Linked DNA regions of Lytechinus pictus. The protein of the gene in region 2 binds, or shares a complex with, the protein of the main gene of each other region. Links are inferred from orthologs where the notes say so. Each region holds a gene or a part of one and is shown on either strand. Other genes may lie near its edges.

Evidence for each region. Proteins that work in one complex are often made in the same cells at the same time.
Region 1: the proteins of apoptosis-inducing factor 1, mitochondrial-like (region 2) and mitochondrial intermembrane space import and assembly protein 40-like are in contact, whole or in part, in a cryo-EM structure (PDB 9GQZ), measured with the Homo sapiens proteins. The link is inferred for Lytechinus pictus from reciprocal best matches to the Homo sapiens genes AIFM1 and CHCHD4. Residues at the interface, in NP_004199.1 of Homo sapiens: Pro345, Tyr347, Ser500, Ser501, Leu502, Pro503, Thr504, Val505, Gly506, Val507, Phe508, Ala509, Lys510, Glu558, Asp559, Tyr560, Asn602, Ala605, Lys606, Phe608, Asn609, Ile610, His611; in NP_001091972.1 of Homo sapiens: Arg5, Glu7, Lys9, Asp10, Arg11, Ile12, Ile13, Phe14, Val15, Thr16, Lys17, His20, Thr22, Pro23.

The regions. Positions count from the first base shown.
Region 1 is NC_087247.1:23,673,293-23,677,049, forward strand, and holds the start of mitochondrial intermembrane space import and assembly protein 40-like, read right to left. Parts: upstream 2,833-3,757; 5' UTR 2,756-2,832; intron 2,512-2,755; 5' UTR 2,426-2,511; coding exon 2,404-2,425; intron 723-2,403; coding exon 630-722; intron 1-629.
Region 2 is NW_026974140.1:13,270,060-13,273,816, forward strand, and holds the start of apoptosis-inducing factor 1, mitochondrial-like, read right to left. Parts: upstream 2,530-3,757; 5' UTR 2,478-2,529; coding exon 2,388-2,477; intron 1,833-2,387; coding exon 1,676-1,832; intron 1-1,675. UniProt on the Homo sapiens protein: Functions both as NADH oxidoreductase and as regulator of apoptosis.

The DNA.
Region 1 (3,757 bases), on a different chromosome or scaffold from region 2:
AATAACGTCCCCATAAGTTGCTGAAATTACACTTTTCACCGCTACATATAAATGAAATTGAACTGGCCTACTTATTTTCCATATTTCCTTGAAATTCTTTTGATTTAATTGGGAATTATCAAGAGAATCAGAGAGTCTCCCATCTTTCTTGACAATGAAAGATTGTTTTCAATCGATGTCACACTCGATCTACCTACATGAAAGTCTACATGTGGGACTACAATATGTACAATATTGATCTGTAGAATTTCAGCAACATTTTGGGAAGTGTTTTTTTTTTCTTCAATACGGTCACACAGTTGTAGTAGGAAAAAATGAACCTCTTAAAATGTTGTTAGAATGACGTTTAAAATTTTGACTTCGCCCTAATTTCTAGTTTACATCTTACTGCTGGAATGCCCACAAGCTGCCATTACAGATAGTTTACTTTCAAACAAATATCATTAGCTAGGATTTTTAAGGGTGTGGTAACACAAAATATCATGGACATGGTTGCAAACATTTGTTTACATAATTCCTTTTTCCAGATAATGTATCCTTTCTGTACCATCAGTCTAGAAGCAATATGGTAACGTCACATCAGTAAAGTCTTGGGTGATTTAGTCGAGTATCAACAAGATATTATGTACCTTCTGGTTCTTCTTCCTCAGCAAGATATTTGAGTTCCTCCTTGATGGGGGTTTCATGGTCCTCCTTTGTGACGAAGAGAACTTGGTCCTTCCCTGATAATAATAAAAAAAATAATCACAAAGATCAACGTAAGAACACAGAAACATGTCTACAATAAGTTTTGTTTGTACAAAAAGCCATTGTATATTACTGATCATCACTGCTTGTACTTGCAGTGATTTACAAAAGTAAGATTGGTATTTAGAAGGGATTTGTAATGCGCCAAATCCGCTCTGCACAGTGCCCAAGGTGCAATGGAAGAGAAAGAGAGAGAAAAGTAACGGCGAAGGACAATGAGAAACAAGATGGCGGCGTAAGCATCGGGCAAGTCTCCCCCGTCTTTTCATATTTTTTTCATTTTTTTATGAATTCTTGTTTATAAATGAAATTGATAGCGTAGAAATGTCGGAAATGAAGTTGTATCCGATTTACATGATTTAAGGCTAGATCTTATAAGTAGAAATCTCGGGGGCCAAAGTTTCAGGTTTTTTGGCGGTATACGCAGATAAATGGGATGGAATCCCAGGCTCCGTTGGAGAGTAAGCATACGTTAGTAAAATATTTTTACTCTCAAGGAGCCTCTTGGCTACCCAGACCGGCTTACACTGCTTTCAGTATAGGTGGCAACTGTCTTTGGCAAAACAAAGCCTAAAGTAAAGGTATGATCTAATGATCATGATGTTTTTGTTTATCCGAAAACTGTTCGGTTTCGACTCCCCATATAAAACTAAGTCAGGCGTTTAACGGAATTGAAAATAACCGTGAATATATAAATAATGCAGCACTCGGCTACCGACGAGTGACGTGACATGATTTGCTCAGCCAGGCCCACCTTACCTTAATGCCCGTTGTTTTTAAACGTTGTTAATGCACGTCCGCCCAGTACATGTATCTATCGCGCTCCAGCTACATGTAGCTCCACGCACTTCAGACTCAGTGGCCCGTATTCTGAAGTCGGGTTTAACTTAAACTCAGGTTTAAAGTTGTGGTTTAAGTATGGACAGCCAATTGTTACATAAACCACTAACGGTAGAGATATCATACTTCAGCCCATTCTGCTCTCAAATCATTCATAATTGTGTAAAAAGTACGTATAAATAGATGATTGTCTTCACCATCGATGAATCAGGAAAGAGCACAGTAAACATCACCCAAGGGTTCATTACATGCTGCCGCGCACAGAAAAATCAAGCCATAGAAGTCATGTGTTGTGGACACCAGAAGTGAGATCCCATCACGCGAGACCCACTAGCTAGTTAGAAATCCACTGCCACACGCGGTTCATGGTGCGAGGTTAGTATACTATTAATACCACTCACACTAATAGTAATACGAGGTACTAGCCTCGCAATACGTGTGAGTGAGTAAACATAGGAAATGTACAATTACAACTTAATAAAAAAAATGATACATTTGGCTTCCCATACTTAAACCACAACTTTAAACCTTAGTCTAAGTTACACCTGACCTCAGAATACGGGCCAGTGAAACAAGCTGAGGCTGCCTGAGCGCTAGCGCGCCAGGGCCCAGGGATCGGGAAGGGGACGGGCCGTTGGACAGGGGCTAGGCTGGGGCAGCCGGCAACCGCGGGGAAGTACGGCGTAATCATCATCATGAATGATGAAGTAGATGATGAAGAATGTTGCGAAGAAATACTTCAGAGTTCAGAATACACCCTTTTCAAATCATGCTTTAAAAACATAAAAGAGAATAATCTGAGAACATTATACATACCCTCTTGGCGACAATACGACATTGTTGTTTATCTAATTCTCCCCTAATTCTGTAAGAATTCGACTTGTATTTAGACGCAGCAGCTAACAGTGATGATGTAAGAAATACCTGCACACACATGTGTTACCGTAAATAGTTTTTGTTCAGGAAAATGGTTATATCTTATTACTAAATCCAGATGATAATTTCTTATTATGTAGTAATGGTGCCATTTTATGTATTTAATGGATTTCAGTGTAATGATAATCGATTCTTATGATCATAAAATGCTGGGGCTGGAAATTGATTTCTTATCATTATGCATAGATTTTATCATATTTAGTGAATGGGCTGCTGATCAAAAGACCATTACACTATTGGTAGCTCGAATCGAAATTGAATGGAAAGCAATGGTGCGAGTCGCCACGTATACGCCGCATCCCGGCCGGTCGACCGTACGCCGTATCGTATACCGTTTGTTGGCATATGACCAGACCATAATGTGTAACCGTCTGGTCGACCGATCGTAAATTGTTTAATTTGAGTAGTTTAAAAGAAAATAAAAATATATTCAGGGGATCAGATAGTGTACTGGGACTAGAAGATCAAACTGTATTCACAACCAGACGTCAGTTTTAGGAAAATGGGAAATCCCACGACAAAGGGAAACGCACTTCTACTACCCCTCAGCACGAACTCGAAGGAAACATCCCCGGGCCAGACCGGCGGAGGTAAGCAAGTGTTTTCCTGCTACTAGGACTAGGAGCTAGTATACTAATACCTACCTGGACAAGTTAGTCATATCTTTATCCACCAACCACGGAGTTAGTTTCAATCTTACTAAACCCGTTTCACGAAAGGCTTCCTAACTAGAATACCTTGATATCGATACTATCGGTTGAAAGAGCAGACGAGACGTAGCCTTAGTCACAAAATAGCACAATTTTTTAAAAGTAAAAATATGATAAAACTGCAATTATTGTGATTAATTTGGAAATACATTTAATCAAAATAATAGCAGAGGCAAAATATGTACCATGCATACTTAAACCATGAAGACTGGAGCATTCATTTGCTGAGAAAATCAAATTATGAATAATTCATTTCAATTTCATGACTAAAAACTTACATGTGGACATTGAGATGGGTATCCCCGGGATAGTAGATTTGGATAGTTTACGAAAGTAAACCACAGTTGTTTTCTTTGTGATAATTATGAGTTTATTAATGGTTCCAAACATCATCAAAATATAGTTTAACATAAATTTTAAATGTTTACATACCGAAACACAAGATTTGACAATTTTTTGCATAAATTAGAGATAGCATTTATCAAAAATGTTGATAAGTGTCTGAGAACGACGAATACGAGTCC
Region 2 (3,757 bases):
GGGTAAGTTATCTGGGTTTTTTTTATGAACATTCATCATATAATGGTTGTTATACCTCACCTGGAGGAGAATCTGAATGCACTATCTCAACACATTTATCAAAAAGGAAAAAGAGATTTTGTGTCTCGCCCACTTATGAAAATAACCAGAAATATCGTGATTTACATCAGAATTGTAACGAAACTTCATTGTGAAATGACTAGGATGGAATAACACTTGTCATAAGAGTCTTGCACGTAAATTTTAATGTTGCCCTCAAAGTGAACTTTGACCATACCATGTGACCTCCCAACGCAATAGCATGCAGGTCCCCTAAGTACATCTACCATCCAAGTTTGGTTGAAAAGTGATTTACGGTTGCAGAGTTATGTGTCATAAGAGAGTCTTGCACATAAACTTTAACGTTGACCTGAAAATGACCTTTGACCTTACCATGTGACCTCCGATTGCAGCATAACATGCAGGTCCCCCAAGTTCATCTACCATCCAAGTTTGGTTGAAAAGTGACTTCCGGTTGCGGAGTTAGGTGTCATAAGAATGTCTTGCATGTAAACTTTAACGTTGACCTGAAAATGACCATTGACCTTACCATGTGACCTCTGACTGCAGCATAACATGCAGGTCCCCCAAGTCCATCTACCATCCAAGATTGGTTGAAATGTGACTTACGGTTGCGGAGTTAGGTGTCATAAGAGAATCTTGCATGTAAACATTAAAGTTGACCTGAAAATGACCTTTGACCTTACCATGTGACCTTCAACTGCAGCAATAACATGCAGGTCCCCCCAAGTCCATCTACAATCCAAGATTGGTTGAAAAGTGACATACGGTTGCGGAGTTAGGTGACATAAGAGAATCTTGCATGTAAACTTTAACGTTGACCTGAAAATGACCTTTGACCTTACCATGTGACCTCCGACTGCAGCATAACATGCAGGTCTCCCCAAGTCCAACTACCATCCAAAATTGGTTGAAAAGTGACTTACGGTTGCGGAGTAAGGTGTCATAAGAGAATCTTGCATGTAAACTTTAACGTTGACCTGAAAATGACCTTTGACCTCCGACTGCAGCATAACATGCAGGTTCCCCCAAGTCCATCTACCATCCAAGATTGGTTGAAAAGTGACTTACGGTTGTGGAGTTATAAGTCATAAGGTTTGTGACGGACGGACGACATTTGGATCCCTAAGTCTCGCCTTCACCTCTGGTGGACGAGACAAAAAGCAGAGTCTGCTGTATTTTGCACAAAATGATTAAGAACTTCTGTTTTGTAACTTTATTAACAGAATGTTTCTATTCACATTTATTATCATAAAACTTGTATTGTAAGAATCTTTGCTCATACATGTCCCATTTTGTGGAATTGCCTCCCCTCAGGAAGACATCCAAATTTTTATCTCTTTTTCATATTTAAAAAATCGTCTCAAATCATCTATTTACTTCTTAGTTCTTTATGTGCCTTGAGCACTCAAATAAGTGGATTTGTTGCTTTTAATGTCACATTGTTATCATAAAGAAAACGTTGAGGTACATAAATATAGAGACCCCCCCTCCACCCACATCTGACATACCTTGACCTGTAGTTGTTGACCCTTTTAATGTCACATTGTTATCATAAAGAAAACGTTGAGGTACATAAATATAGAGACCCCCCCTCCACCCACATCTGACATACCTTGACCTGTAGTTGTTGACCCTTCTGCTGGAGCAGCCTCGGTACTGGCTGCAGGCTCGGCAGGGCTGGCTTCAGATCCAGCTGAACTGGCAGGAGCCAGATTGAAATTTACTTTCTTAGGTGGGCCACCCCATGTTACTAAACCTTGTGTTTGAACCTAAAGAGAATTGCATATACATGTATCATATCACAGGATACTTCTTTTGATAATCAAATTTTTATACAAGGATATCAAACCACTCCAATGTCATCTAAGCTCAAACTAGACTAATTCTTCTGGTGCTTCTAAGAACTAGATAAATTATGGGTAATGTAAATCAATGTCTCTGGAGAAAAAAAAAAATTAAAAACACCCAATTGATAGTTTCAATCAAGAGCTGAAACAATCATGATGAATCTTACTTCCGAAGTTCCATCAAATGCTTTCTCTACAGATTGTGATTATATCATTACTAGAGTTGATATGGTCAATGGTAAGAAAAGTTTCATCCGAACACAAACACTGTTTTCTGAAAAAAAAAAAAGAAAATCTACTGCTTTAAAACTTATCTTATTTCTTTGGGCAAAATTTAAAAATGGAAGCAAAGTTACACATGAGAGTTAAAACAGATGATTTAAAACTCTTGAAATGCCAAATTTTCCAATCCACACCACGTACACATAAATCCCACATGATTGCCCACATATCACATTGTAAATATAATATACTTACTAATGTAGCTGAGGCAATGAAGAAAGTAACTCCACCGATAGCCCAGTAAATTCCATTCTTACCAACTCCTTCAGTAGTTATGTGAGCCATAGTTCTAGAAGTGGTGGTTTGCAGAACTTTATGACGAGGAAGTTGGAACAAGGATCCTACAATATTTAGAGTAAGAGATAGGAAAATAGAAGGAGATAATTGCATCAACATAACAAAGGGCTGATGGGTAATGATTCTATTGTATGATATACATATTCTGGGCAGATATTACACCGACTCAGGTAAAAAGATAAAAATAAACAGCGTTGACATCTTGTCCAGCAGATGGAAAAAAAAAGGTCTTGAATATGTTGCATATTGCTGACGGAGCACCATATACCAAGAGTGGGAGATTCAAGTCATGTATTCAAACATATTCTGAATAGTGTAAAATTTGAATTATTTCATTGCAAGTTTGACTTCACATAACATCGCCTCTTTCTTTTTATTTTTGGGTTTTTTTGTGCGTTTTTTCCTCTCCTACTCATTTTCCTTCTCATCCCCTCCCATTCTAATTCTTCTTCTCCTTACTTTTCCTTGACTGTTTTTCATGTTTTCTTCTTCTCATCTAATGTTAACCTCTTCCATTTTTTCTCGAAGTTTAAAGTTCGTTCTTTCTTTTCCCTTCTTTTAATTCTAATCTTAAAATAATCTTATCCAGGCTAGCATTCTTTTCACTATAGGGAGCATTGGGACTTCAATAAGGTAGATAAAGCTACCAGACTCTGGTGAGAAGAATTAGAAGGGAGGGGATGAGTAGTCAGACTTTCAAGTGCCATTGTACAAAATCCACAGATACCTAACAAAATTTTTAGATCTAATTTCTTATATCTAAACTGCAACTATTTTCACTCAAAAAAGTTCGTAACTAAGAGAAAAAAAAATAAATCCCTACACAATTCACCATGCAACAAGCCCTGTTGTACATCATTGTGTGCATTTGTGTGTTGCCTAACTTTTGCCTAATTTATTACGTGATTATAAATAATTAGTATAATACTGCCAATTTATAATCACGTAATAAATTTTAGTATTTGTGAAATAATATTTTTTATCTATAAATTGTTCTTCAAAACGGCATTGCTTATCGGAAGTACGTAATACATAAGCGGTTCAAGGGTCGACGCTATTGTATTTGCGTTGTTTACATGTGGATCAAGGGGTCTACGCGACATCAATCTGGTAAGAAACCCACTCATTCAATGAACAAGGTTATGATATAACCTTGTTCTCAGTTATATCTCCATGTGTGGCAAAATAAGGATGGCAATGTTTGGCTTATTTTCTCTTTTTCTTTGGGACAAATGCTTGATTTTTTTTACACTGATAGTTTCCATTAC